7 linked regions of the Sus scrofa genome follow. The protein of the gene in region 3 interacts with the protein of the main gene of each other region in a biochemical or structural test. Links are inferred from orthologs where the notes say so. Each region holds a gene or a part of one and is shown on either strand. Other genes may lie near its edges.

Region 1 (3,967 bases), on a different chromosome or scaffold from region 3:
TCCAGAAGCCTTTTTAACCGGCCCCCGCGGTGTCTTGGAGGCTCCTGCGGATCAGGGAGTGCTCCGCCCTCCCAGTTCCTAGCTAGGAGAGGAGGCTAAAACAGCCAAAGAGAAAAACAAAACAAAACAACTGCAAAACGTTTAAATTCCAATGAGAAAAGTCAGTGGGTTTCAGGATCTGCACTGCGCAGGGCTCGGCTCCGTAGTCCACTCTGCTGGAGGCCCTGGCCTGGCTGGAGCAGCGCGGCGGATGCCTCCGGCCGGGCTGGGGAGCGCAGCCCACAGCTCCTCCTCTCCAGGCGCCCAAGGACCCTCAAGGCGTGGGGCTCACACTTGAAGCCTGGGAACGCGCAGACAGGAAACCCACTTCCTCCTAAGCAGTTTCTTGCTAGCCGGATGAGAGGCGCCCAATTGAAGCAGAATGATCCTCATCTACTAATATCCAGCGTGGCCACAAAGCGACTGGCCATTTACGCTGCCACTTTAAACAAAGATATTTGGTTATTCCCAGGGAAGCAAGTGCACTTTTGCATGGCTGAGCTCCGGGTGGAGGCAAGCTTCAGCCCAGCCTCCCGCCCGCTGGGCTGCTCACGCCTGGGGATTCGCCCCCTCCCGGCCAGCACATCCCTCCAGGGTTCAGGCTAGTTCCGCCCGGCAACAGGCGGGCGGGCACTCACGACGTTCCCTGCCCAAGCCCTCCCTGAAGCATCAGAGGGGAAAACAGCGTGACTCTGGGCTCGGGTCCTGGGGCTGTGATGTCCTCGGAAAGTCAGCTCCAGTCCCAGAACCCCGCGTGTCCGGGCGATGGGAGAGGGTCGGGGACATCAGGTTTGTTCGAGGTGGAGCAACTAAAGCGATGGCGCTTAGCGTCAATCCCCCCAGCCTCTCAGCTCGGGTGGCCAGTGGTGTCCTAGTCTTAGCCAGGGGCGGGGGTGGGGAAGGGTAGCCGCGTGTGGGTTGGGGGGGGCGTGAAGCAGGGGGCCCTGGCCCTCTGAGAAACCCCTGCGCTGGGGGAGGGGGGCGCGGAGATCTGGGACAGCCTCTCGGCAGCTACAGTCGATCCCCTGCTCAGCGCCCCCTCCGCCCGCCAGGATTCTCTCTCGGGTAGGGGGAAAGGGGGCGGGGAGCAGAGGTGTCCTTCTGACGGCGGCAGAAGAGGCAGACAGACTGACAGACCCACTCGCAGAACAGTGCGGTCCCAGGGTTCGTCCCCAGACTCGTGAGCTCCTTTGGTGGCGGCTGGGGCTCGGCACCGCGAAGCCAGATGTGGTCCGGAGGCAGTGGGAAGGCGCGGGGCTGGGAGGCCGCGGCGGGAGGGAGGAGCAGCCCCAGCAGGCTCAGGTGAAACCCCCACCCCGTCCCTTGGCCCACTCCTTTCCTGTCCCCGCCCGGGGAACCCCGACCAAATTGGAAAGTGGTTCACTTTGTAACTCGGCAAGTTGGTTGCAAAGCAGCATTCACCTTCCTTCCTACCCACCATCACTCCTCCTTGGCTACTCCCAGTCCCACCTCTTGCCCTCCCCTCTCTCGGTTCCCTCCTCCTTTCCCTCCCCCACCTCCCCCCACCCCGCGCCGCCCGCACCCCACAAAAAATGGGGGTGGGGGTCCAGGGGAGGGGGGGGAAGAAAAGCTTCGGGTCGCGTCTCTGCCTCTCTCTCTCTCTCCCTCCCTCTTTGAGACCTAAAAATCCTGACAAGTGAAACTTAAAGGTGTTTACCTTGTCATCAGCATGTAAGCTAATTATCTCGGGCAAGATGTAGGCTTCTATTGTCTTGTTGCTTTAGCGCTTATGCCCCGCCTCTGGTGGCTGCCTAAAACCTGGCGCCGGGCTAAAACAAACGCGAGGCAGCCCCCGAGCCTCCACTCAAGCCAATTAAGGCGGACTCGGTCCACTCGGTTACGTGTACATCCAACAAGATCGGCGTTAAGGTAACACCAGAATATTTGGCAAAGGGAGAAAAAAAAGCAGCGAGGCTTCGCCTTCCCCCTCTCCCTTTTTTTTCCTCCTCTTCCTTCCTCCTCCAGCCGCCGCCGAATCATGTCGATGAGTCCAAAGCACACGACTCCGTTCTCAGTGTCTGACATCTTGAGTCCCCTGGAGGAAAGCTACAAGAAAGTGGGCATGGAGGGCGGCGGCCTCGGGGCTCCGCTGGCGGCTTACAGGCAGGGCCAGGCGGCACCACCGGCCACGGCAATGCAGCAGCACGCCGTGGGGCACCACGGCGCCGTCACCGCCGCCTACCACATGACGGCGGCGGGGGTGCCCCAGCTCTCGCACTCCGCCGTGGGGGGCTACTGCAACGGCAACCTGGGCAACATGAGTGAGCTGCCGCCGTACCAGGACACCATGCGGAACAGCGCGTCGGGCCCCGGATGGTACGGCGCCAACCCAGACCCGCGCTTCCCCGCGAGTAAGTGAGGCCGCCCCACTGCGGGGCCGCGGGCTGAGCTCAGGAGGCGCAGAGAGAGCCGCCGGGAAGGCGCGGCGCCTATGAGCTGCGCGGTGGGCATCAGGGTGGGCGGCCGGGCAGTGGCGCCAGGGAGTCGGGCACAGGAGCTGGGGAGTCTTCCCTTGTTGAGCTGATGGGTTCCAGAAGAGGCACTTGGTAGCTCTGGGGTCCTGAGGGCAGAAGCTGGAATTCGGTGTTTGCCAGATGCGGCCAAGTGGCCGCTCTGCTCTGTGCGGGAGACCTTGGATTGCTGAGGGTGGCGTCCCTCCAACTAAGAGAGCCGGGACAAACAGGGCACGGAGAGGTGGCCTGGCCGGGAGGGAGGTTTTCCCGGCTGGGATGCGCCCAGGCCCCTGGCCTGGCCCACTCTCCAGTCTAGGCAGGTGGGAGGGCGCGCGGCTTAGAGGGGGCTCTAAATGGGCCGAAAGAGTGCCCTCACTGGGGCCAACGGAGGGAGAAGCCAAGAGGCAAAGAGTCTGGGGTTTCTAGCTTTCAAAAATGAACACCTCTCTCTGCTAAGCTCCCAAAGCTGGGGTCTACCATCGGACCCCAGCTCCTGGCCTGGGCCCAGTTTGCTGCCTGTGGCCCGCTAACCATGAAAGGAACAGGAGCAGCCTTTCTCCACGCCGCTTCTTTGGGGTGGAGCACTGAGACTGAGAGAGGTAGCGGGGTTTGAGGCAGAGAGCTCTCCAGCAAACACTTCGAAGACGCCATGGCCTGAGGCAGGCAGCTGGGCCTCCCAGGGTGGAGGCAGCCTAGGTGAGGAGGGCGCCGTCGGGGCGGGCCGGGCCGGCCAAGGGCGCAGAAGGCAGAGGCGGTCTGGTCCGGCCCGGCCCCTGCCGACGTTGTGCGTTTGTCGCTTACAGTCTCCCGCTTCATGGGCCCGACGAGCGGCATGAACATGAGCGGCATGGGCGGCCTGGGCTCTCTGGGGGACGTGAGCAAGAATATGGCCCCGCTACCAAGCGCACCGCGCCGGAAGCGCCGGGTGCTCTTCTCCCAGGCGCAGGTGTATGAGCTGGAGCGACGCTTCAAGCAGCAAAAGTACCTGTCCGCGCCCGAGCGCGAGCACCTGGCCAGCATGATCCACCTGACACCCACGCAGGTCAAGATCTGGTTCCAGAATCACCGCTACAAAATGAAGCGCCAAGCCAAGGACAAGGCAGCACAGCAGCAACTGCAGCAGGATAGCGGCGGCGGCGGCGGGGGCGCCGGGTGCCAGCAGCAGCAGCAAGCTCAGCAGCAGTCACCACGCCGCGTGGCTGTGCCAGTCCTGGTGAAAGACGGCAAACCCTGCCAGGCGGGCGCCCCGGCTCCGGGCGCCGCAAGCCTGCAAGGCCACGCTCAACAGCAGGCGCAGCAACAGGCGCAAGCTGCTCAGGCGGCGGCGGCAGCTATCTCAGTGGGCAGCGGTGGCCCCGGCCTGGGTGCGCACCCCGGCCACCAGCCCAGCAGCGCGGGCCAGTCTCCGGACCTGGCGCACCACGCCGCCAGCCCCGCGGCGCTGCAGGGCCAGG
Region 2 (4,268 bases), on a different chromosome or scaffold from region 3:
GGAGTCTTCTTTACCTAACACCGAGGACTCCACTCTCACCCAACCACGCTGGGGTTCAGGGTGAACCCCTAAGTGCAGGATGTGGGGGCTCCTCACACCCACACAGCCTCTCGCTCCTGCCATATGCCACCTCCAACTCCCAGGACACCCTTCACCAGTTCTGGCCAACTGCCACCCTCAATACCACAGAGCCTCTCTGGAGGGATTCAGCTTCTCCTGAAAAGTCCTCCTTGACATCCACTCAACCCAGGCATCAATCTTTCTCCAGCAGGAAACTTTCCACACAGCATGGAGTAGGGAAGGCTCCCCCTCTTTGGACATAGGTCCCTAAGCATACATCTTTCAGAACAACCCCTGGATGTTATGAAATTATCTTTCTTCTTTTTTAAAGTTTATCTTCCTTTCTAGAAAGTAAGCAACTCAAGAGCAAAGACTTTTATGTTTCTAAATGTTTACTGAACTGAAACATCAGACACTATACAATGAAAAATCAACAAATATGGCCTGACTTATTCCTAGCCAATTCATTAGCAAATCCTGTCAGTTCAGCTTCCAACCAGATTCATCCACTTCCCGAGTTACCACCACCTCGCCAGCCCAGCCTAGCCTCTGGCATCTCCATTCTGGATTACTTTAACAGTCGCCTCATTCCTCTGCGTCCACACCACTATACCACACCAGTCTATAACACACATGCCCACACACTCCACTATCCACACCCTCTTGTCTCCAGCAGCCAGAGTGATCTAAGATATAAAGATAAAAATTTCTTCTAAAATTTACTTAAATTTAAAAATCCACTTTAAAAATCTTCATTTGCTTCCTATTGTACTGGGACTAAAATCCAAACCGCCTCCTGATGCCCCATCTAATCTGACTCCTCCCAAGCCTTGTGCTCATTTGGTGTTACTGCATCTCTACTTCGATCCATTAAGTCTCCAATACGACAAGCTATGTCCCACCCTGGCGTCTGTATGCTTGCCCCTTCCTCTGCCTAGAAGACTTCCTTCAGCTACCTGCTACTTCTCCAAGTTTAGCTTAAGTGTCACAATCCAATCCAAAGCAGCTTTTTAATCCTTCAGTCACTGTCTTTTGTCCTCATTACCATCTCAAATTACATTAATTTGTCCACTTGTTTACAGTGTGTATCTGTCCCTCAGGAGGGCAGGAACTCCGCATTTCATCCATGCTGTGTCCCATATGCCTAAAACCAGTGCCTTTCACACGGAAGGCATCCATAAGCATTTCTAAAACAAAAGAATAAACCAAGAAAAGTGACCCTTACTTAAGAAATACCTGAAACAAGGAGTTCCCATTGTGGCTCAGTGGAAACGAATCTGACTAGCATCCATGAGGATATAGTTTTGATCCCTGACCTCGCTCAGTGGGTTAAGGATCCAGCATTGCTGTGAGCTGTGGTGTAGGTTGCAGATGCGGCTCAGATCCGGCGTTGCTGTGGCTGTGACACAGGCCAGTGGCTACAGCTTCAATTCGATCCCTAGCCTGGGAACCTCTATATGCCATGGGTGTGGCCCTAAAAAGCAAAAAAATAAAAATAAAAGTTAAAAAAAAAAAAGAAATACATGAAACAAGGTAAAAGAAATGGAAAGTAATCGGTAATTTTGTTTTATTACCAAACAAAACAAGGCAGGAAACATTCTAGTTAGTATCTGCAAGAAAGAAAGGCTGGTGTCACTGGGAGCTATTATCACAAGCATCCAGAGTTATTTCCCAAAACTCATTAGAAACATGTCAAGTAGAATGGTTTCATGTGCCATATGCTAGCCTATGTGTATGGCACTGCAAACAATCATTTTAGAAAATGCTATAAACTCACACTCCCCATAACCCTGCAATGTGCACAACTACAGTAGTGTACACTACAACACTTAAAAACTACTCGTTATGCTATTTGAAAAACCAGAATTTCTGACAGTGGTAATGATCTGTAAATGATTAAATTTATACTAATAAAACTTCAACCTCTTAGGTAACAGGTCCTTCTCTTATACGAGGCAGGTCTTCAAGACAGGATCTGACTATGGCACCTAAGAAGCTGCCTCATATACTGTTCTTTCTTAGAAATAATGCTGCAACTCAAACAAAAGCCATAACTCGTCACAATGTTAGCAGCCTCTGTTAACTCCTTACTGAAGTTTTGACCAGAGGAGCAGGAAACTGTCAGTCACTACTGCACTAGTGATACAAAAATCTTTGAATCTTTATTCAAATGTCACTCAATCACAAAAATTAGGATAACATACAATGAAGCATTTAGGCAATGAAGGCAAATGAAGACAGTGAAGATAAACCTTAGTAAAATCTAAGTATTTTATTTTGCTTGATTAAACTTTCTCGCTGTTCAAGAAAAGGATTTATAAAATAAACAAGTCTTATCGTGTCCAACAAAATTAATATGACAGGTTAGAAATAGATTTCATATTTTAATAATCACTATTGACAGGTGAATTGCATGTAACAAAATTTCAGTAACTTTCCTGCAGATTCCTTTAAGCAATTTTCAACAGGATGGCCATCAAGTTTCTGACCTAACCACACTTACCTTGGTATGGTAACACATTTAGTATTACAATTTTGAGTGGTGATGGCTTTCTCAAGCTCATCTAATCGTCCTGTTTTCTTTAGCTTCTTCACCAAACTTTTAACTGCTTTCTCACACCACTTCTCTTCCTGTCCATTCTGCTCTCCTCCACCTGCTCCTCCAGATCCACCAGCTGACTTCTTCCATCCCAGCAGTCTCTTCACAACTGGCGGAGTGAATGGCAAGATGGACGACATGTTCTTACCAAAGGCAGCGGTCCACACTAAGAAAATATCCTCCTTAATCTAACCTAGAAAAGATATGGAAAGGACAGTTGAGAGGCTAACTTTACCATCAACTACTGCTTTCAACACAGGAGCAAAAGCAAATTACAAAATGAGATAAGAAATTCAAATTATTACTTTCAGAACAGACTTTCAGAAGTTATCTTTTTCACCCATGACAAGTCTTCACGAATTTAAATGAACTGTGGAAACAAATCCTTCTAAAAACAAGACAATGATAAGTGGGCCAAGAGAACAATTTTGCAAGACAGAAAATTTTTTTATCTTTATCAACACTGGACCATTAATCACTACCCATACTACTATATTTTTACCTTTTAATAGTAGCAATAAAATATTTTCACTAAAACAAAGTTTTCCTTATGTTTTTAGAATTTCAGTCTATTCTCAAGACACTTAACAAAAATACATTTTTTTAATTTACAGGGCCAATCTCCCCGAAGTTTTAAACTTTCATAACTATCATAAAGTAAAGTCTAAGGTCATAACAAGGGGAAAGGAGAAAGGCATCAAGTGTGAAGTAAACAACCAGAAGTAAAGGTAACGAGAGACTGTGAGGAAGAGATGTGGTTCACTTTGAGAAGACTTTTAATTAAGCTTCATTTTAAAAATATTTTTTTCTCTATCTAAGTAACAACCCACATAGTGGATAAAGTCAAATAAAGCTCTTCTCCCCACACCAAGGTACAACTCTTTAAAATCTTTGAACCTTTACTCTTGCTATTTATACCTAAGCAATGGTCCCCCTTGAAGTATCAAGTTAAATATACCTATTGAAAATGAAGATTTACACCACAATCACTTGCTTTTCCTCCAGCCCTGAAAATAATTATCTTCCAACTGTAGTTTTATACCTGAAGAGATTAGTAGTAAACTACTATATAATCCTGTTTCCTTTTTTGTACATCTCTTTCTTTTTCTCCAGAGCTAATTATGTCAGTTTTTCATCTGCCTAGTTTTCTAAGCACCTACCATAAATTCTTCCTACTCTCTCTACCAAGTCCCTCAATTAAAATTTAATGTCAACAGCTTTAATCTCAAAGTAAGAGATAAGAACATTTACCACTGAGGGCAGAACTAGAGAGTTTAGATTTGAGAAGAATGGAAAAGATTTAGAAATGCAGCTCTGAGAAATACTGTAGAAAATCAAACTGAGTGAGGTCAGATAAATTTTATCAGGTATTTGCCAGACTATATATCAGAAAGTATTCCATGAAGGAGTTCCACTTCTAAACAGGATGTAGCAAATCACAAGAGACCATCACTTTCACCCTAACAAACAAAACAAGACAGATAAACTATAAAATCATGGTTTTTCTGAACCCGTCTAAAAGTTAAAGATGCAAAGTAATAAGCTAAATGTAACTAAATTCCAGAAAGTGTTGAATTTTGATAGGAGAGGGGCCCACAGATGGTCTCTT
Region 3 (4,285 bases):
GAGCCAGAGCAACTCGGGATCCGAGCCGCGTCTGCGACCTACACCACAGCTCACGGCAATGCCGGATCGTCAACCTACTGAGCAAGGGCAGGGACCGAATCCGCAACCTCATGGTTCCTAGTTGGATTCGTTAACCACTGCGCCACGACGGGAACTCCTGCCCGGTCCAATTCTATCCTAGAAGCCACAAACCCATATCTCCTCATTTAAATGAGGCTGAGTCTCTCGAGAATGTTATTCTCAGGTCTCTCCCCATGTTTCCATTTAACAAAATGCCTTCGATCCTTTGACTGCGTGTAATCTAATCCCTTTAGTCCTTGCTTTGCCTTGACAGACATCCTTAAGCCCTGCTTCAGACCAGCAGTTACGGGAGACAAGGCTGTACCTTGCTTCATGTGCTCAGTGAGGGCCCTTCCAAGGCCCTGACACTAAGAGACCCTCTCACAGGGACATGATGGTGCCGAACGCGCCACCAAGGACCCGACACACATATAAAGGTGAATTTATTCTTTGGATTATTTAAACAGAGCTGTTAAAACTGACTTTTTTGTTCCACATTTGGAAAAGCAAAAGAGCTCCAGTGCCTCAAAAGGATCAAAATTAGAAAGGGAAAAAAGTGGTCAAAATCCACCCTTTCTGATAAATTTTACTGTGATCAGCCACACATTAAGTAGATATCTGACCATCCAATAACAGAAGTGCCCCAAGAGCCAGTCCTTTGGGTGCCATCTTGAAAAGAGGTACAAGTTTACAGTGGGACAAGCCTTTCTGCTACGTCTCACGTAACTCCCTTGTCCCTCTGTATAAAAAGCAAAGTCTAAAATAACCTCAATCAACAACAGCAAAGCTGCAAAGCCATTCAAAAGTTACGTTTCAGAGGACAAGCTTCAAAGCAAACTTGTCCAGTATGATCTATATTTCATATGATTAAAGATTTTTCACTCAAACATGCCAAGATTAATGGAGCCAAGATGAGCTATTCTGCAGTAAAATCAGAGTTTTTTAAATGCAGTAAAATCAGAGCATTGAAATCATGGTTGTTCTCACATTTCTCATTTCAGATAAGCTGATTTTACAAAATTAACATCAAACACAACACTTCATCAGTTTTTTTTTTTTAAAGAAGAGTATTATTGGTGACTTTTATACACCATGAGACTTAACTGACTCTTCTCCAACTGTTTCAACAAATTTCATTTCAACTAGACAAGAATCTCATGATTTTTTTTTTACACTTTCTCTCAATTCTACATTAAAAAATAGTCTAGGAATTGTAGTAAAACTGCAGCCACAAAACTCAAGTTTTGTTCCAACAATAGCAATAGATTTTTAGACCACTAGCAGAAAAACGCTAGTGGTCAGTCACAGAAATGTTTGCACAAGCTGAACAGCTGTGTCTACTGCAAATCTGAAGGCACTGCTGCAGCAATATAATTCAATTCTGACCCATTCATTATAAACTGATTTACAGATGCTGCTACTGCAAGATCACAGTGGAGAAATGCAAGCTGCGCTGGGGATCAAATCGTTCACCGAAGCGCACAAGTTTTTAACGCAAAGGAGAGCTCTGAAAGAGGAAATACAACTAGTTCATAACGCTACCATGAACCAGCCCAGAAGAACCTAAAACTATAAATGAATAGAAAACTAAAACACTTCCCTTAGGTAATTGATGTGATCACCTAAGAAAGTTTCCAGGGAAGATGTTTAAAACAGTGAATTTATTCAGTATCCTACCGAAAAAACTAGGGAGGAAGACTGTAATTCCCCCATTCCTTAACATATTTTTTCTTCTTACATCTTCACTGTAAAAGCAACACAAGCTCACTTGCAGATTGCAGCCCGGATCAATCTGCTATTTAACTTTCTTCCGAAGTTACAGTCTTGAAATTAAACACCCCACTTAGGACGTCTTCCGAAGTTTGGGGCTGTGAAAAATGGGATAGCTCAGGAGACCAACAACAAGAGTTTTCAAAGTAACTACTAAGCATTTTTCCCAAGCAGCACATTCCAAAAAACTTCTAAGTCGTAACTCAAGAGGCTGGCTGCAGCTCTGCGTGTCTTCTGGTTGCCTTGTGAATGTGCTACCAATTCAGAAAACATTTCGGGTCCCCTTTGGGCTGCACGCTTTCCTTCCCTCACTGGCAAACGCACCCTCCGCTGTCATCCCTTCAAACAGCCACGCGTGTGTCGACCCACGGCGGCAGAGGGTGGCAAAGGGACTCACCACGCAGAACAAACACGCTCCGCTTTACTTTTCCCCCCTGGAAGTACCACTCGGGCTCCACGCGAGGAGGGCTCGCCAACTCCGGGCTATGCGAGCGCACCGGGCATGTGCCGCCCCACTCGGGCCCCAGGCAGTCTTCCGACAAACTTCCCCCTCCGCGGCCGGGGTCCCGGGGAAAGGGCCCCGCACGCCCGCCCTCGAGTTCGGGTCCCCCGGGGGCACTCACCTCCGGGCAGGGCTGTCAGCGACCCCCGGGGCCCCTGTTCCCGCCCGGCCCCCTACTCACCTGTGCTGTCATTCGCAGAGAAGCCGGGCGAGCTGAGTTTGGCTCGTTTGGGGTTGGGCGGTCCGTCCAGCAAGTTCTCGGCCATTTTCACCTGCTCGCGAAAACAGCCCCGAGCGCGGGCGGCGGGGCCGGCGAGGGCTCCGGGGCGGGGGTCGGCGCCGGCCCCGGCCGGCTGCGAGGGGAGAGCGAGCGCGAGCCGCGAGTCGCGAGCGAGCGCCGAGGGAGAGGGAGGGCGCAGGGCCGGGTGGGGGAGGCGGCGGCCAAATCTCAGCCACAGCAACAGCGCCCCGCAGCGCTCACCGCCCGCCCCCGGCCGCCGCCGCCGCCGCCGCCGCCGGCCGCGGCCCCCTCATCCCCTGCCCGCCTCCCGAGCGCGACACTCCGCGGCGGGGGCGCCCCGGCGGCCCGGCGGCCCCCCGGGCCCGGCTGGCAGCGACGGCGCCCGGCCGGGCGGCTCAGGCAGTCCCCGGGAACATGGTGCCGCCGCCGCGCCGCCGCCTCGCTCCCCCCCCGCGCCCCACTTAATTAATTCGCTCGCGGCCCGACGACCGGGGGGCTCCGGGCTCCGCTCCCTGCCCGCGGCCCGCCGCCGCCGCCGCCGCCGCGAGGAAAAACAATGAGCGAAGCGGGGCCGCCGCCGCCGCCGCCGCCGCGGCCCCCCCACCCCCCGTTCCGCCGCCGCCGCCGCCGCCGCTGCCGCCGCCGCCGCCGCCGCCGCCGCGGCTCCGGGAGGCCGAGCCGAGAGGCGAGCGGGGCCGCCGGAGCGGGCGCCGAGGGCCAGGCGGAGCGGGCCGGCCGGGCGGAGCGGGGTGCGCGGGCGGTTGTGGGGCCCGGGACCGGCGGGGCCGAGTAGATCGCGCTCGAAGCCCCGGTCGGGTCCGCGACAAGATGGCGGCTGTTGATTCCTCAATTAAAAAAAAAAGAAAGTTTTTTTTCTTCTCTTTCCAGAGCCTGAACGGGGAGGGGGAGGGGGCGGGGCACGCCGGTGCGTCACCCCCCCCCGCGGCGTCACCACGCACGGCCCCCGCCCCGCCCCCTCCACCTGCGCCGGCCGCAGCGGAAAGAGCCGAGCGCGTTCGGACGGAAAGGGCCGAAGGCGCGGCTGCCGTACGTCGTGCGGCCGAGTGGCGGGGCGGCTAGACTGCCCGGCGGGGGCCGGGCCTGCGGGGCGCCGGGCGCCGGGCACCGCCGCCACTTTTGTTCTGACGGCGACTGGGCGGCGAGGGGTCTGGCTGCGGCCTGGCAGCAAGCCGGGCCCCCAGGCGCGGAGTTGGCGCCGCCCGGGCCTGCCCGTCCCGCAGGCGACTCTGCCCAGTCCCGGCTCCCCGCGCCCCTGCTCCGCGACCCTTCTCGGTGACCAGGGCTGGCAGCTTCTCCCCGCCGGATGCCAGCGTTGTGTCGTGGCCTCTGCAGGTTACAGACTGCTCTTGGGTCCGCCCGTGAGCGAGTGCAGATGGGGAAACTGAGGCAGGAAGTGGCAGGGCCGAGATTCGAAGGCCTCCACGTGAAGTGAGGAGGACGCAGGACTCCTGAGCCCTTGTTCCCCAGCCTGATGCAATAGGGGCCCCAGGTCCGACACCCTCACCTGCACCGGGAAGTGGTGAGCGCTGCTTCCCAGCCAAGCACACTCAGTCTGCGCCGGGCCCAGAAGGCCCCATTACATCAGGGCTTAGGGCCCTCGTGCCCTACGCAACCATCTGGACCCCGCAGGTGCTGCAGTCAGGTGTGAGGTTCCCCCGGAGGCCCGCCCGCGTGCCCACTATCCGCAGGAC
Region 4 (4,246 bases), on a different chromosome or scaffold from region 3:
ACTGGATCTCAGTGAGGGGTGAGCCCACACTCTGGTCAGTGCTAGGGCTTCGACCCTTTTCCCAGCGGCCAGGACCCACTGCATTAACCTTCAAGAGCGCTCCGCGGAGAGGGGAGTAGGGCGGAGGCCTGTGTGCGCCTGAATCCAACAAAAACACCTCGCAAGCCTACGTTTAGAAAGCGATACCTAACACCACACTCACGTTTTTTTAAAAAAAGCACTGCTTGCAGAGAAGATGAGAGCGAAAACATTTCCCGGCTGGAAAAGTACTGATCACAAACTAAGGGGAGGGGGGTGGGGAGGCAGAGTTATAAGACTGAAATAACGATCGCAGTTTCCTCTTCTCTTCCCGGTGGGCAGTGACAGCCGCCGCGGGCTCCGTGTGACCTTATCAGGAACCGGGGTTCCAATGCGTCGCTCCACTTTCTGGCATGGGGCCACTTTCCAGCCAAGTCCCTTCGGTGGGCTTGACCGCTCGAGACAAGGGAGCGAGTTGCCGGTTGACCTTTACCTCGCCACTTCACCTCTTTATGACTCAGTTTTCTCATCCATAAAATGGAAAGGACAGTGCGTGGCTTGCAAAATGCTTTGAGATTCCTGGTTGAAGGTATCTCCGCGCCTCACGCCCCTCTTCCCTCCCCCACCTCACGAAGTGAATTTTGAGACTTTCCCGTCCCTTCCTCTCTCCTTCAATAATATCAAAACCGTAGCTCCATTTCCCATTCTGGTCTTTTACAGCCTTTTCCAGGCGGAACACCCCTCCGGCCTTCTCAGGCTCCCAGTCTTCGCCTTGCCGTCCTGGGCTTCCATCTCGACCCCCTACCCGCGACCCGGCAAAAGTGCCAGCGAAGAGCCGTGTGACGCCAGGCCAAGGGCCCGCAATGGCACTCAGGGACTAGAGCCGGGCTCCTGCGTGCGTAAGAGAGGTACGAGCTCTGGATGAGTCACGCGGATAATCGCGCTCTTCTCTAGGGCGCAAAGTGCGCGGCGAGCGCTCACCCGGGCTGTGGTAGTGGCGTGTTACCGTCCCCCTTCGCCCCCAGCAGCCTTCTCGGCCGCAGGCTTCGAACCTGGGGAGCTGCCCGTGGCGACGCCGACTGTCCTGGTCGCGCGGCGACCGGACCTGCGCCCGGTATACCCAGCGCCTGAGCCACTGCGCCACCGCCGCCGGCGTCAGCGCGGCTCCTGCCCGCCAGCTGCTGGGCTGGCGTCACGGCCCGCCGTGCCCCGCCGCGCCCCTCCTTCCTCCCCGCCCCACGTGCGCCAAGTTTGTTTATTTAGCTGCTATGGCAACGCGCGGGGGGGGCCGCGCAAGGGAGGGGAGAAGAAAGGGAGGGGGCGGGGCCTGGCGGCGGGCCCCTGCGCACAGCGGGTAGGAGGCGGGGGGAGGGCGGGAGCCAAGAAGTTATAAGTAAGGAGCGCGCGGCGGCCGCCGGCAGTTCCCCGGCCGAGACAGCGAGCGCGGCTGCGGGCGCGCGGGGAGCAGAGGCGGTGGCGGGCGGCGGCGGCACCGGGAGCCGCCAAGTGCCCCTCCCCGCCCCTCCGGCCCCCACCCACCCACCCACCTGCCCGCGGCCAGCGCCCATGGCCGCGCGCGCCCCGCGCAGCCCCCCGGACTCCGCGCCCTGCGCCGCCGCCCAGTCCGCAGATCAGCGCCGCCGCAGCCAGTCTCACCTGGCGGCGCCGCCCGCCCGCCACCCCGGCCACAGCCCCAGCACCCAAGGCCATAGCCGCGGCGACCGCGACAGCGGTGGGGGACACTGCTGAGTCGAAGAGAGCGCAGCCCGGCCACCGGACCTACTTACTCGCCTTGCTGATTGTCTATTTTTACGAGTTTACAACTTTTCTAAGAACTTTTGTATACAAAGGAACTTTTTTTAAAGGCATCTCTTTTATATTTAATCCAAAGAAGAAGGATCTCTGGCAATTTGGGGTTTTGGGTTTTGGCTTCGTTTCTAAGTCTTTTCCCCCTCTTCGTTGACTGGGGTTCGGGTACCCCCGCTGCTTCGGACTTCGGAGGACCTCTGAGGCCCCACATTAATGAGGTAAGTGCGGCGTGGGGGTGGGGGAGTAGGGAGGAGTGAGGACCGGTGGGACCCGCCAGAGCGGCCGTCAAGAGTGGCCCCTGACTCAAGCCTCTGTGCTCCCCACCCGGCCCGCAGGCAGCCACCTGGCGAGTCTGACATGGCTGTCAGCGACGCACTGCTCCCGTCCTTCTCCACGTTCGCGTCCGGCCCGGCGGGAAGGGAGAAGACACTGCGTCCAGCAGGTGCCCCGAATAACGTGAGTGTTGTCACGGGCTGTCGGGAACCTCTAGTGGGCTTCTGTGGGTGGGGTGGGGACGGGCGGAGCCCCGGGGTCACCCAGAACCCCTCCGGACGAGGGGAGGGAGTAGCCACCGCACGGGCTCCGCAGCCTTCCCAGGATGGCTTCCGCGCTCTTGGCTCAGCTGTGCTTGCGTGTGGTCCGGACGGTGTGGAGCCGCCGGGGGCGCACACCGGGCCCGCACACGTCCCGGAGCACGCAAGCGGCAGGGCGGGCGCGCGAGCTACCGGGCGGGAGGTGTCTGTGTCCCCAGACACTGGCTGGGCGGGAGTGAGTTTGGCGCGTAGGCGTCCCCGTGGCGAGGGCGCACCGAGAGAGCTTCGGTGTCCTGATTCTTGGGGCGGCGGGAGCGTCCCCTGGATCTGGCGGGGGAGGGACCCAGGCTGGCGAGCCGCGGCGCGCGCTCACAATCCATGGGGCAGACACAACATAACATCCTCCATATACACGCACCGTTTCTCTTCAGACCCAGCCATGATTTCGACGCTGGCACTCTTAGTTCCCAGGCGCTTCCTGCCGGCCAGGTCCCCACGTCTAGGCGGTGTAGGCGCGGCCAGCCCACCACTACGTCGGGCGGCAGTTAGGGACTGCACTGACGGTATCTCTTGTCCTGTCCCGGCAGCGCTGGCGGGAGGAGCTCTCCCACATGAAGCAAAGACTTCCCCCGGTGCTTCCCGGCCGCCCCTACGACCTGGCGGCGGCGACCGTGGCCACCGACCTGGAGAGTGGCGGAGTCGGCGCGGCTTGCGGCAGTAGCAACCCGGCTCTTCTACCCCGGAGGGAGACGGAGGAGTTCAATGATCTCCTGGACCTGGACTTTATCCTCTCCAACTCACTGTCTCATCAGGAGTCAGTGGCCGCCACCGTGTCCTCGTCGGCTTCAGCCTCATCCTCTTCCTCCCCATCGAGCAGCGGTCCCGCCAGTGCGCCCTCCACCTGCAGCTTCAGCTATCCGATCCGGGCTGGGGGCGACCCGGGCGTGGCACCGGGCAGCACTGGAGGCAGCCTCCTCTATGGCCGGGAGTCTGCACCTCCCCCGACAGCTCCCTTCAACCTGGCAGACATCAACGATGTGAGCCCCTCGGGCGGCTTCGTGGCCGAACTCCTGCGGCCTGAATTGGACCCAGTGTACATTCCGCCGCAGCAGTCGCAGCCGCCAGGTGGCGGGCTGATGGGCAAGTTTGTGTTGAAGGCATCGCTGAGTGCCCCCGGCAGCGAGTACGGCAGCCCATCGGTCATCAGTGTTAGCAAAGGCAGCCCAGATGGGAGCCACCCGGTGGTGGTGGCGCCCTACAGCGGTGGCCCGCCGCGCATGTGCCCCAAGATCAAGCAGGAGGCTGTCTCCTCGTGCACCGTCGGCCGGCCCTTAGAGGCCCACTTGGGCACTGGACCCCCTCTCAGCAATGGCCACCGGCCGCCTGCCCACGACTTTCCCCTGGGGCGGCAGCTCCCCAGCAGGACTACCCCAACCCTGGGTGCGGAGGAACTGCTAAGCAGCAGGGACTGTCATCCTGCCCTGCCGCTCCCCCCGGGCTTCCATCCCCACCATGGGCCAAACTACCCACCCTTCCTGCCGGATCAGCTGCAGCCGCAGGTCCCACCGCTCCATTACCAAGGTCAGTCCCGGGGAATCGTAGTTGGGGCTGGGGAGCCCTGCATCTGCCGGCCCTCTGGGGCCCACGGAATGGTGTTGACCCCACCTTCTTCACCCCTAGAGCTCATGCCACCTGGTTCCTGCATGCCAGAGGAGCCAAAGCCAAAGAGGGGGAGAAGGTCGTGGCCCCGGAAAAGGACGGCCACTCACACTTGTGATTACGCGGGCTGCGGCAAAACCTACACGAAGAGTTCTCATCTCAAGGCACACCTGCGAACCCACACAGGTAGGAGGATAGAAGCTGGGGGGGGGGGACAGGGGGTTGGT
Region 5 (3,991 bases), on a different chromosome or scaffold from region 3:
CTTTATTAATTTAAAAAAAATAATTGTTATTCAGTGGAGATGAGAGTTTCTGGTGAAAATCTGGTTTAAAATAGGGAGACTTCAACTACTTTACCTTTTCTAAGGACATTAAACTAGGAATATCAAAGAAAAAGAGGTGCCAGCTTATAGGCTTATTTCATATTGGAAGGAAGAGCCTGAAGACAAAATGAATGGAAACAGCATGTATGGTGAGATTATTTACTGGATCTAACAATTTAATCTACCAGCAGAAGATATACAAATCATTAAATCCCAACTTTTCCAAAATACAAAAATTTAGGTAGAAAAACTTTATAGATGATTTCTTCAGAGTTAATGTTAATTACAGGGAGTAGAAGTTTGATGTAAAGCATATCTTTTTAAAATGATATTCATATAGGAGTTCCCGTCGTGGCACAGTGGTTTACGAATCCGACTAGGAACCATGAGGTTTCGGGTTCGGTTCCTGCCCTTGCTCAGTGGGTTAACGATCTGGCGTTGTTGTGAGCTGTGTGTGGTGTAGGTTGCAGATGTGGCTTGGATCCTGCGTTGCTGTGGCTCTGGCATAGGCCAGCGGCTTCAGCTCCGATTAGACCCCGAGCCTGGGAACCTCCATGTGCCGGGGGAGCGGTCCTAGCAAAGGCAAAAAGACAAAAAAAAAAAATGATATTCATATAGTCTCTAAATCCTGAATACCAATAAAAAGCACCACTTCAAATTATTTCTTAAAGAGCTGACAATCACTTCTGTTAATCTCAGTTTAAAAATATGAAACATATACTCTAAGTAAAAAAGTAAATGCAGGAATTTCTGGATTGCACATTTAATAAATATAGTGCCCCAAATACTAAATAAACATTCTAATAAGGTATTTCAAAAAACAAATTCCAGAAAATACAATCAAATCTACAGAAGGCATGTATCTTACAACACACAAAAGTCCCTGAAAGCCCCTTCCTTACTGACAACTAAAAACCAAACACCTGTGTTCTAAACTACCACTCTATTACACTTTAAATAACTAAAACTTAATGGCAGTAGCATTCTCTCAAAACAAGATTAAACATGTTTCTTAGGAAAGCAGCACACACTGCATTTGGAATATTCATACAAATTATTTTACAAAGATTAGAATTAAATTATTAATGACCTTAAAGATCCATGAACGTAATTGCTTCGTGATCTGAAGAAGGGCATCTCTATTTTTGAACATACTGTACAATGATGTTCCTGTAGTTTTGAAAACAGTGCTTACAGCGGATTCTTCAAGTCAGTGTAATAAATTTAAATTCAATTACAAAATATAATTGCTATTGTATTTGTCTTCCAGGGCACTTAACCCTGTAGGGATGACTTTTTAACAAGCTTCTCACCTTCATAGTTTTGGATATAGGCTTTAAGATTGTGCCTAGAAAGGTGATTACTGACAATGGTTATAGATTTCTTCACATAGGACAAAAAGTGTGCCCAAAGGAACCGGTTTTTCCTGATTTCAAACATATACATTAAATTTATTTACTGTTGCCGTCTCCAAAACTTAAAATTCCTAAGAATCTGTAACTTTTCACATAATAATTAAGGGATTAGTCACAGGCCTAAGGTTCCTCAGGAGTAATCCCTTTTACTCCACCATATTCACAGTACTTTTGCTCCTGTCCTGACCAGTTTTAAAACTTTTCATTAAGCAAAGACAATTTTATGCTACCTAAGGGAACAAAAATAGTTCCCAGCCCCTCCGCCTTCTCCCTCCTCCTAGCGTCAGTTCAACCAGCGAACACAGAAAACGCACACACACGCGCACACACACACACACACTCGGGCCCGGTCCCTAGGGCATCAATAAAAAGCACAGGTTATTCCCCTACAGAAGCTCTGCAGTCTACCCAGTAAGGTTAAAAAAAAAAAAAATGGGGGAAAATACCAGAATCAATCTGCACCCGCACCTCAGCCCCGCCCCATTGGGAAAATGCAGGGGGTGGCGAGAGTATGAAGGGGCAGAAAGGACAGAAAAGGCAGATACTTCCAGCTCCAGGTTCTTACACCATTTGTTCCACCAGCTTCCACCACAGCCAGAGACCCTGACCCTGTTTTCAGCCGCGCCTCATGATCCTGCCCCCCGCCACCACCATCACATACAGTCCCCAAACCACTGAGTGGGGAGCCCAGAGCCAGCCCTCTTCCTGTTCAATCTAAGGACTGAAGCGGGGGGTCTCCCTGCATCCTCGGCGAATCCGACGTGTGCCCCGGGACCTCTGAACTGACCAAAGAAGGGGAAGCTATATCAGGGGGAGGGGTCTAAGAGGAGCCGTTATTCTTTTCCTCTTCGTTAGGAAAGCGCGCGAGCAGGGAGGGGCCGGAACAACAAATGCCAGTTACCTAACGGTCCAGCCTGGCCGGTCCGGCTCGCGAAGCGGACGCCGCGCGGTCCGCTGAGGTGGCAGCACAGCCACAGCCGCCCCGCGGGCTAGGCACCGAGTCAGGAGCGCCCGAGGTGATGGGAAGCGGGGGGTGGGGACTATGGTGAGCGACGTCGCCATATTAGTGCCTTCTTTCTCCGTATCCCTACAGTCTGCAGTCCTGCAGCCCTCTCCCCATCACCACTCACCTTTCCAAGTCACTAGTTCATGCTTCTTTCAGTGGCTGAGAATACCCGAGCTCAGCGGTGTTTACCAACCACCCCAGGAGGAAAGGGCTGAACCACACTTTAAAGGCCACGGGCTCCCACAGGCTTCCGTCCTCTCTCGCGAGATCGGACTGACAACCCTTCTCTCCGCCCCACTCCCGGCATCCCTCCTTTCTTCTCATGCCCCTCCCCTCCACGCACACGCCCCTTCTTGCTTTCCTTCAGACCAAGCGCCTCCGGGTCAGGTGGTTCCGTGAGGCGTAGGAAAAGGGGCGGGACTGCAGGAGGGCCGGGGTGAAGGGGGCGGGAGCCAAAGACTACTCGACCGCTGGCTATTGGATAAAGAGCCAGATGGGCGGGAAGCAATTCTGGACGGGGCGGGACCAGTCGAAAGAGTGTTGTCTCGGTAACCCAGGAGCTGCAGAAGGGTGATTGGCAGCTGGCTGGAGGCGGGCGCGAGACTGGGGCGCTCAGCAGGTGGCTGCTTGAGGTGGCTAGAGGAGGTTGTTGATGTGCAGGGAGGAAAGGTGAACTCTGGAAAGGCTGCAAGTAGCGGGAGAGAAAGCAGAAGAAGTCATATCCGGGAGCCTGGTATTTCCGTTGCTGTCATTTCCCGACCCTCGGGAGGAAAAAGAGTAAAGCGTAGGGAGGCGTGCACCGAAACCCACCTTCGGGCTACCGTGAAGCCTGTGGGGAGGGGGCGGAGGCAGGGGCGGGGTTCGGTTAAATTGAAGTTTAGAAGAGGCGAAGTTTGCTGGAAATTACCCCCGAGCCCCCATACACGCCTAAGGCGCGAAAGCAAAATGTCAGTTCTGAAAATAAACGAAAAAGCCTTTACTATGAACGGCTTTTGTTCGAATTTACTAAGTTGTAGCTGAAACTGATTGCTCCGGCTCAAAGCGCCCAGCACCGGTGTATGATATTGGCATACAAATATATTCTAAGTAACTTACTAAAAGGAAATATTGTGGCCTTCTACCATGTCTCCATAACTTAAAACAATGGAAGGACTTGTTAATAAGAAAAAATCCTCCATGTTATGGTGTACCTTGTTTTATCAGTTTACTTACTATAGATAAAAATAGATCAATTTTAGTAGCGATAATTTCAAACCTTTAAAACCTCAAAACTCCGTATTAATATTTTAGAGAGGACCAAATGACACCAAATTAGAATATGGCTTAGAAATTGCACTCTTCCACAAATATTAATGCTACCGCTTAGTAGGTTGATGCAATGCCAAGGAAACAGCTGTCAGGCTCTGAAAGTACCTGTTTAAAAAGAAGGGGGGAAGAGCTCCCACCATGGCTCAGCGGTGAGGAGCCCAACTAGTATCCATGAGGACACGGTTCAGTCCCTGGCTTCGCT
Region 6 (3,945 bases), on a different chromosome or scaffold from region 3:
ACTGGCCTACGCCACAGCCACAGCAATTCGGGATCCGAGCCGCATCTGCAACCTACACCACAGCTCACGGCAACGCCGGATACTTAACCCGCTGAGCAAGGCCAGGGATCGAACCCGCAACCTCATGGTTCCTAGTTGGATTCGTTAACCACTGAGCCACGATGGGACTTCCCATCCTTTCTTCTTTAGGCCTTGGAACTAGTACATGGTACAGCCACCTTCCTGGAGAGGTCAGCTCCCTAGAAGCCTGTTGTTCTTGCCTGTTGGAAAGGGGGGGCAGGTGTGACTGCTAACTGCTCCCCTAGCCGCCTAAACTAAGCCTTCTTGTTCTAGGTGAGTGCCGCCCCCTGGTGGGGTGGTAGTAACCTTGGCACATCACCAGGGAAGCCAATTTAGGCTTGAGGCCTCCCCCCTTGGAGTAGGGTGGAGGTGGGGAGTGAGAGGTGAGAGACTTGGGGGCCCCAGATTTGGCCTTGCCATCATTCCATGGCAGCATGTATTAGCAGAAAGGGCATACGATTTACAGTTAGACCTGAGTTCAAATCTTCATTCTATCGATTTTGGCAAGTTTCCCAACCTTGCTTTACTTTTGTTTCCTAATATGTAAAACGTGGAATCTCAGAATCGCTGTGAAGATGAATACAATTTAAAAAACTCAACTACTTTTTTTTTAAACTCAATTACTTTGTAAACTGAGAAACCCCATATAAGTGGGACTACACTCCCACAGCAAAAAACTAGCAACTCATAGTTATTTCTTCTACCCTGGAAAACAAACCTAAGGGAAAAGAAAAAACAGCTGTGTAGGCTGGGTCCAAGGAGGGGAGCTCTTTATGAGCTGAGACTCGTGTGGCAGTCTACCCAGAAATAGTGCCAAGGGTCTCAGTCAGCTGTCCTGCTTTCTGTTCTGCCCAACCCCTAGGGATACTGTAGATCTGCTCCCTTGATCTCTTCTACCTAGAAGACCCTCTGCTCATTCAACCCTCTGTATTTCCTTGCATCCCGATCTCACCACTTATGGGGGTACAAGACGTCAATAGGAATTGAAGCTCCCCTGTTTCGTGATTAGAGTCCCATGTTTCTCAGGACAAGCTTTTAGAGCATCTAGTGAGACGGTCCCTCAGCGTTTCTTCATGCAAAGCCAATGGAACTCCCAACCTTGTGCTCTAAAGTCAGAGCCTTATCTCTCTATTTTTTCCCCTCGAATATTCCTCAAGAGTGAATGAAAACTTCCCCCACAACTTGGACAGCCCCTTACTAGGCAGAGTTTCCTGGCATTATATAGGGTAAACTGAAGCAGCCTCCTCCTTTCTCTTAGTGCGAAAGATCCGCTACGTCACCCCATGGATACCACTCTTTTTACCTTTTGCCACTTCACTCCATCTTCTTGGGTAGCAGAGTTCTAGAACAGTGCTTCTACCCTGAGGTATTCGGAGGCAAGCAGGGAATCCAAGCAATCCCACAGGAATGGGAGAAAAGGTGTAGGGGTGGGAGGTGGAGGAGGAGGGAAGGCTAGGTTCCTGTGGGGAATCCACACAGTTCCTGCTGTACATAGGATAAAGACTTCTCTGTGGGGATAAGTGTTTGGGGCAGCCCAAGCCAAAGTGCTGGGAGTGTTGAGCAGTGAGCAGAGAATTCAATTTTTCTCCAGGACAAGGACAGTGTCTTATTCATCTGTGATCCTCCAGCATCAAGCACCGAGCAGCATATACTATGTCCTAAGTAAATGTTTGTCTAATTGAGGAGGGAAGGTGGATCTCTGGGGTGGAGGTGTAAAAGGGGCCCCAGAGTAGTAGCAAGGAGACTGGGGGACCCAGGGGCAGACAGGTATTGGGATGGAGGTAGGGGGGTTCATAGTTACCTTCCATCCTGCTGAGCTGTTGCTGTCCCCCTTGTCCTTGAAGTAGGGCACGGTGCGGACCATCCACTCATAGATCTGGGCGAGTGTCAGTCGCTTCTCGGGGGCGCTTTCAATGGCCTGGCTGATGAGTTCTGCATATGACTGATTTCCCCAGGCATTCCGGCGGGAGCCTCCCTTCCGAGGACCTGTTACAGCCCCCAGGATCCCGGGCTGGGGGCCCCCTGCCGGGTCTGGGAGCCGGTTGGGCAACAGGGTCGGCTGGGAGCGCCCCTCCGAGCGCCCCTCCGGGTGTACCTTCTCTCCCAGACCTGACTCCACCTCGGGCGGCTCGGGCGGCTCGGGAGCGAGCTCTGGTCGGGGAAGGGGCCAGGTGCAGGAGCGGGGACGGCTCTGGGGTTCGAAGTCGGGATCGAGGTCTACGGTCGCGGCAGCCTGTCTGGCTGAATTCTCATTCCCTGGATCCATACGTGGAGCTGGACCTCCGCCGCTCAGCGTTCAGAGGAGCCTGCCACAGTCCCTTGCGATGCCTCCCCCCAGGGGGGAAGCACCGAGGGCCAGGAGGCACATTCCTGCCAGTCCTCAGAAAGTCTCGAACTTCCCCCTCACCCCTGGACGCTAGCCCCTAAGCTGTCCCTTCCACACAGTTAGTTGTCTGATCCTCTCCTCCACTACAGCAGCCTGCAGCCTCGGAGCTGTGAGCTCCGAGACACCACCTGTAACCACCGCCTAGCGAAGGCACTTTTTCCCCAACCTCTCACTCAGCTTCCTGCTCTTTTAAATCTGAGGCACCGTATCCCCTCACATATCGCACTCCCATCACAGAACGTCTCCTAAGCCGTAGTTCCCTCCCCCTTTTAAGTTGCTGCCCCCCGGACACTCCTCCCGAATTTCCTCCACCCGGATCGCTGCCCTCCCCCACGCCCCGCTCCCCCGCGTCACTTGCCCCTCCCCTGACTCCCCCACCCCCCGCCTCTTTCCTCCCCCCCAACTCTTAATCCGGTCCACGTCCCGGCGGCCCCAGGCTCTCGAATTCCCGCACCAATCCCCCTATCAACCCCCCCCACCCCCCGCCCCCCGGGTTTCCCTTTTGTTTTGCTCCAAGCAGCGGCCCCCGCCTGACGTCTCTGTTTACCACTCGCCGGGGCAGCCATCTGCGCACGCGCCTGGAGAGTCGGTTGGGAAACCGAGTTCTCTAGTCGTGCCACCCTGGTCGGGCTTGGGGACTACATCTCCCGTCCTACTTCGCGGCTAGGAGCCCGATAAGGGTGGCAGGAGAGCTGCGTGGCAGGATATAGAGAGAGGGAACATTAATTATTAGAGGTCGTCGCGGACTTTTTCTTTTCTTTAAAAATCATTTTCCTCCTCCCCGCACCCCGCCCCCTCCCCCGTCCTCCCTGTGATTCGGGGATCGCCTAGATGACCGTGTGAGGAGATGCTAGAAGAGGGCAAAAAGAAAGAATGCGGTCCCTGCAAGAGGCAAGAAGTAAAGAACTGGCTAGTAAATAGGCTGTTGTCGCGTTGAGGAGTTGGGTGCAGGGTTTGGGGCACATAAACAAATGGATAGCTGATGATAGTGTCTCCCCCACCACCCTCAACTCCCCATACGCAGTTCTCACAGATAGTGCGGTTGCTGACCAATCAGTTTTCTCCACTGGCTCTTCTGGCCTTTCCTCAAATATTGATGTTCTCCAGGTTCCCATCTTCGGCGGCTTCACTTCTCATTCAACAGGTTCCAAACAGAACGCATTATCTGTTCCTGCACCCACACCCCCAATCCTCTGGATATCTTATCTCAGAATTTGGTTAATGGTTGTCCTAATCTATCCAGTCTCCTAAACTAGATTTACCCTTCGTCTTTTCATCTCCGTAACCTCCCACGTCCAAATCCCAGTTCAAGATCTTACTTATCACGGGACTAAATTGCAGCAACGTCTTAATCGGGGCCCCCCACCATGAATCTCTTCCCAACTGCGGTTTATGTTCTGTGCTGTCAACAAAGTAACTTTTCTGAGAAATATTTCTGGTAATAACAACTAAAATTTATGGAGCATTTATTCCGTGCCAGGTACTGTGCTGATTGCTTT
Region 7 (4,288 bases), on a different chromosome or scaffold from region 3:
GGGTCCTAGCCCCACACCTCCTGCTCTTCCTCCCCCAGACCACGTGCCACCCTCGGCGGCGTGTGGTGTGGTGGGTGCCAGGCCGTGGGGGACGTGCCTGGCGCAGGTGCCCTTGCCCTGTCCCTCTTGCGCTGGCTGCCCTGCCTGCCCTCCAGGGCGCCCCTGCCCCTCCACTCCCTGTTGCCAGTGAACCCAGGACCCCCGTGTGTCTTGTCCTCTCCTGTCCCTCCAAAAGAAAAAGCCGTCTTTTCCCAGTCGGTTCTTCCTCCAGATGTGGGCTCTCCCCGTGTGCTAGACGTAGGTGACTGGGCCAGGGGCAGAGGTCACGTGGTGGGGGCGGGAAATGGGTGGGTTTGGGTGAGATGTTGTGGGAACCAAGGATGACTCTGACTGGGGCTGGAGGTGGGAGGTGGGGCTGTTTCCCATGATGGGTGAGGAACTAGCGTTTTTGGGCCTGGGTCGCGGGGGGGGGTGTTCGGCTACGTCCTGGCCTTGGTCCCCCGCGGGCAGGTGGCGGTGCAGGAGAGGGGGTAGTTTGAGGACGTCTCCGTGTTTCCCTGTGGCGCCCCCACCCCCGCTGTGCCCTCTCCCTCGAAGGAACTAAAGCCTCCTTTGGGGGCAGCTCTGGGAGCAGTGGGGGAGCCCTGGGCTGGGGGGGCAGACGGCGCCACCTGTAGCACAGGTGAGAGGCTGGACCCCCCCGCCCCCCGCCAGGGTCTGATTGTGAGGGAGGGTGGGGGACTGTGCCTGTCCTCCAGCTCCTCACAGACCCCCTGATCCCCCGCCGCCACTGCCAGTGCGGCTCCCGCCACGCAGGTGACAGGGTACAAGGAACTGGTCTGCCTTCTGTCGCGTCTGTCCTGCGTCCAGCCCAGGGCCTGCCCTCAAGGGGCCCCGTGGGCACAGACTTGGCGGTTGAGGGGTGGCTGCAGTCCGTCCTTCTCCTGCCCCTCCGGGCAGGGGCTCCATCTCTGAGGAGTGCCCCGGCTACTTCCCCGGTGTCCTGACTGCCAGGGGGGCCCAGGAGAGCCGGGCTGGGTGGCCAGCGCTGCAGCTCGAGTCCCAGCCCTGCCTGACCTGCAGCACCAGGCAAGCCCTCGGGCCTCTGTCCCCTGGTGTCTGGCCAGGGAGCCGGTCCCAGGAGGGTGGAGTCAGGCTGCTGAAGGCTCAGAAAGTTGGGGGGGGGTGGGAGAGGACTGGGCTGGGAGGGGCCTGCAGGGACCCCGCCTGTGTGACAGGTGGCCCTCAAGCTATGAGTGGGTGTCCCCAGAGGCAGGCCGACTTCCTGAGCAAAGTGGGGTATCCCAGGCAGCTGATGGGCAGACACCCCAGGCTATGGCGGCCACTGCGAGTGCTGGGCAGCTCAGCTCAGCTCAGCCGCAGGTGCTGGGGGCTGGTGGGCTCCGTGTGGCTCAGAAATGCGCATTTTCAAAGATTCGGTCTTTTGTGTGCTCTCCTGATTTTTGAAGGCTGATAGTTAAAAAAAACCAACCCTCCTTCAGGATGCAGGTCTGGCTGGACTCGGCTGCAGCCTCCTGCTGTGTCTTCAGACTGCGTGTGCTGTGCCAGGCCGCGGGCCGGTGTGCGCAGCTGCTTCGGGACGTTCCCCAAGGCCCGGGCCTCCCTGCCTACTTGGCCTGGTGCCCGTGGTCTGTGCACTGTCTCGGCGGCAGCCCAGCCCTGCGGGGTCCCAAACCTAGAGCCCGTGTCTGGCTGTCCTCCTGGGTGACCCCACCCGTGGATGGGCCGCCTGGACCAGGTGGGTTGGGAGAAGGGAAGGGGGCAGCCAGATGCTGGCCATGGGCTGAAAGAAGGGGTTGCGGGCTCACAGGACGAGCCGGGCCTGGGAAGCGGAGGGGGTGCCGGCCTGGGCCTGCCAAGGAGCCAGCGGGCAGGTGGAGGGGAGCGGGGCTCCTGCCCCTGGACCCGGCCTGGACCGGCCACCTGCAAGGCCCGCGGGCATGTGTGCACAGGGGAGGCGCGGGCCTGCTCACCACCCGAGCTCCACCCCAGGCACGGGGCCGGGGGGGCTGGTCCCTGGCGTGTCTTGGGCCTTGCTGTGCCCCCTGCCTGAGCCCCTTTCTGGCCTGGACCCTCGCCGGCTCCAGGCCCTCACCACCCCTGCTGCGCTGGTGCCAGGCACCCTGGTGGGGAGTGGGCTTCCTGGCCGTGGTGGCTCCTCTTCCTGCCCCGCTCAGCCCTGGCCGGATCCTGCTTCCTGCTGTGGCCGCAGCGGCTTCCCTGCCCTCAGGCGGCTCTGAGCTGCCCAGACGCCACTTCCATTTGCTGACACGAAACCCACGGTCCCGGCCCTGGGCTCACATGGGGCGGGGGCTGTGGGGGCGCAGCCTGGCTCCCCTTTCGAGGCGACGGTGGCTCTGCTGAGTGGCCAGCGGGCCGAGGCCTGCAGGGACCTGTTCAGCCCGCCTGGGCGCACGGTGCCGCTGCGGGGGCTCTGCCAGGGCGAGGGGCTCGCGGGAGCGTGGGGCAGGGTCTGCTCCCCTTGCCCTGTGCCCCGGGCCGGGTGAGGGGCTCCCCAGGTGCCGCTCAGGTCATGCTGCAGTGACTGTAGCTCCAGTCCGGGCAGTCCCTCATCCACAAGCAGTACCCTCTGCGAGGGCCCAGCACTGGCCTGGGGCAGATCCGAGCCGGCAGCCGGGCTGAGGGTGGGCACGGTGCTGGGCCCCTGCTCCTGGGGCTGGGGTGCTCTCTTTGGGACCCCGGCGGCACCAGGCTGTGGCCGTGGTCGTGGCCAGCCAGCCGGTGTGGGGCCGAGTTTCCTGTTTTGTGAGCGCGTTGAGTTTTCTCTTCAAAACAAACAACAAAAGAGGAAGCTCAGGCGTCCTTGGCTGGGGGGTGAGGGGTCACTGCCCGCCCCGCTTGGTGTCCCTGGGCTCCTGCCTGATGGGCCCCGAGTGGGCAGTGCTCCTGCCTCCTTCCTGGCCCTGCCGGGCAGGGGAGGGGGCTGGGGCGCCGCTGGGGTCCCGGGCTGGCTTCTGCGGACACCCCAGCTGCCCCAGGTGGCATGGTGTGCACGCCCAGGAGGGGAACCCAGGTCTGGGCGGGATGGGCTGGGATGCCAGGCCCAGTCCGGAGCCCTGGGCCCGGACCCCTACCCTGCGCCAGCCCTAGGGAGAGGCCTGGGCTGGGTTGCGTCAGGCCAGTTCCTAGAAGTGCCACGGGAGGGCGGGGCGGGGGGGCTGGCTCGGCTGTGGCTGGCGTCCCCTCTCCCCGGGCACACCCGGCCAGGCTCGCGGCCAGTGCCCTCCCCGCGGGCCTCCCGCGCAGGAGCCGGCGGCTGCCTCTGTGCCCACAGAGGGTGGATGCCCACTGCTCCCGCCCCCTCGCCGAGCCTGGCCCCGCAGCCCCAGGAGGAGGCCCCCCAGCCCGGACCTGGCCCCTGGCGGGTTGGCAGAGGGCCCTGGCTCCGGGCTGGGGTGGAGCTGCGTGCGCCCCGCTTAGCCACGCCCTGCTTCCTCTTGAACCTTCAGAAGGGACAGGCTTGTGTGTCAGAAACAGCAGGATCGATGGTGGCGGTTCTTTGGTGGCGCCTCTGCTGACCCTGGGGGCTTTAGGCTGGGGCACTGGGTTTGGGGTCACCGATCCCTGCCCCCTGCCCCGACCATCTCCAGGGTGGTCGGGCCTGCCCAGAGGTCTCAGTGCTTCTCCCAGCAGGGGCGGGAGCCCACCCTGGGCCCTGCTGCTGAGGCGCTGGCGTCCCCCTCGGGCCGTGGGGGCCTCACAGCCAGTGCTGGGGGCTGTGGCGCGGGAGCCAGGTGACGCCTGGAGCGGGGAGGATGCAGCCTGCCCCCGGGTCACAGAGGAGGGGGCCGAGGGAGGGGGCCCTGTCCCCACCAGGCCCCGCTGTCCTCCCGGCTGTCCCGCCGCAGATGTCACTCCGGTCAGGGAAGAGCAGGTGTCGGGCTGGGAGGCCTTCCTCTGCGCCTCTGGGCTGGCCCCTTCCTGTGCGGGTTGTGCTTCTTCCTGGGTGTCGGTGCCCGGAGCCCCTTGCACCCCAACCCGGGCCTCGCTTAGGGAGGCTGGGGGTCACTTGGACGCCGAGGTCTTGCCTCTGCCTCCTCTGGGTGTTTGCAGGGAAGGGGTCTGGGCAGGGCCCCTGCCCACGGGGAGGGCTCGGCCATCCCTCTTGCCCCCCGCCCCAAGCCACCCTGCGGGAGCTACCACAGCCCGTCTGTGCGCCGCCGTCCGCCCGCTCTGTCTCCGCCTCTGCCTGCTCAGGACCCCGAGGCCTTTCTGGGTTTGGTTGGGTGGCTCTTGGCCCAGGAGT

Evidence for each region.
Region 1: the proteins of CREBBP (region 3) and NKX2-1 form a complex in vitro, tested with the Homo sapiens proteins (2 studies listed by BioGRID, with this or other methods). The link is inferred for Sus scrofa from reciprocal best matches to the Homo sapiens genes CREBBP and NKX2-1.
Region 2: the proteins of CREBBP (region 3) and SMAD2 form a complex in vitro, tested with the Homo sapiens proteins (2 studies listed by BioGRID). The link is inferred for Sus scrofa from reciprocal best matches to the Homo sapiens genes CREBBP and SMAD2.
Region 4: the proteins of CREBBP (region 3) and KLF4 form a complex in vitro, tested with the Homo sapiens proteins (2 studies listed by BioGRID, with this or other methods). The link is inferred for Sus scrofa from reciprocal best matches to the Homo sapiens genes CREBBP and KLF4.
Region 5: the proteins of CREBBP (region 3) and ATF2 form a complex in vitro, tested with the Homo sapiens proteins (2 studies listed by BioGRID). The link is inferred for Sus scrofa from reciprocal best matches to the Homo sapiens genes CREBBP and ATF2.
Region 6: the proteins of CREBBP (region 3) and FOXO4 form a complex in vitro, tested with the Homo sapiens proteins (2 studies listed by BioGRID). The link is inferred for Sus scrofa from reciprocal best matches to the Homo sapiens genes CREBBP and FOXO4.
Region 7: of the proteins of CREBBP (region 3) and AKT1, one has a biochemical effect on the other in vitro, tested with the Homo sapiens proteins (2 studies listed by BioGRID, with this or other methods). The link is inferred for Sus scrofa from reciprocal best matches to the Homo sapiens genes CREBBP and AKT1.

The regions. Positions count from the first base shown.
Region 1 is NC_010449.5:63,486,640-63,490,606, forward strand, and holds the start of NKX2-1 (homeobox protein Nkx-2.1), read left to right. Parts: upstream 1-1,167; 5' UTR 1,168-1,264; coding exon 1,265-1,341; intron 1,342-1,617; exon of another isoform or gene 1,618-1,789; coding exon of another isoform or gene 1,790-1,929; exon of another isoform or gene 1,930-2,025; coding exon 2,026-2,411; intron 2,412-3,316; coding exon 3,317-3,967. UniProt on the Homo sapiens protein: Transcription factor that binds and activates the promoter of thyroid specific genes such as thyroglobulin, thyroperoxidase, and thyrotropin receptor. Crucial in the maintenance of the thyroid differentiation phenotype.
Region 2 is NC_010443.5:97,481,424-97,485,691, forward strand, and holds the start of SMAD2 (mothers against decapentaplegic homolog 2), read right to left. Parts: upstream 2,801-4,268; 5' UTR 2,800-2,800; coding exon 2,564-2,799; intron 1-2,563. UniProt on the Homo sapiens protein: Receptor-regulated SMAD (R-SMAD) that is an intracellular signal transducer and transcriptional modulator activated by TGF-beta (transforming growth factor) and activin type 1 receptor kinases.
Region 3 is NC_010445.4:38,386,881-38,391,165, reverse strand, and holds the start of CREBBP (CREB-binding protein), read right to left. Parts: upstream 2,801-4,285; 5' UTR 2,599-2,800; coding exon 2,514-2,598; intron 1-2,513. UniProt on the Homo sapiens protein: Acetylates histones, giving a specific tag for transcriptional activation. Mediates acetylation of histone H3 at 'Lys-18' and 'Lys-27' (H3K18ac and H3K27ac, respectively).
Region 4 is NC_010443.5:248,606,775-248,611,020, reverse strand, and holds the start of KLF4 (Krueppel-like factor 4), read left to right. Parts: upstream 1-1,446; 5' UTR 1,447-2,040; coding exon 2,041-2,045; intron 2,046-2,162; coding exon 2,163-2,283; intron 2,284-2,947; coding exon 2,948-3,941; coding exon of another isoform or gene 3,942-4,040; coding exon 4,041-4,205; intron 4,206-4,246. UniProt on the Homo sapiens protein: Transcription factor; can act both as activator and as repressor. Binds the 5'-CACCC-3' core sequence. Binds to the promoter region of its own gene and can activate its own transcription.
Region 5 is NC_010457.5:81,073,774-81,077,764, forward strand, and holds the start of ATF2 (cyclic AMP-dependent transcription factor ATF-2), read right to left. Parts: upstream 2,801-3,991; 5' UTR 2,606-2,800; intron 1-2,605. UniProt on the Homo sapiens protein: Transcriptional activator which regulates the transcription of various genes, including those involved in anti-apoptosis, cell growth, and DNA damage response.
Region 6 is NC_010461.5:57,131,404-57,135,348, reverse strand, and holds the start of FOXO4 (forkhead box protein O4), read right to left. Parts: upstream 2,801-3,945; 5' UTR 2,327-2,800; coding exon 1,862-2,326; intron 1-1,861. UniProt on the Homo sapiens protein: Transcription factor involved in the regulation of the insulin signaling pathway. Binds to insulin-response elements (IREs) and can activate transcription of IGFBP1.
Region 7 is NW_018084979.1:3,052,673-3,056,960, reverse strand, and holds the start of AKT1 (RAC-alpha serine/threonine-protein kinase), read left to right. Parts: upstream 1-1,488; 5' UTR 1,489-1,503; coding exon 1,504-1,759; intron 1,760-4,288. UniProt on the Homo sapiens protein: AKT1 is one of 3 closely related serine/threonine-protein kinases (AKT1, AKT2 and AKT3) called the AKT kinase, and which regulate many processes including metabolism, proliferation, cell survival, growth and angiogenesis.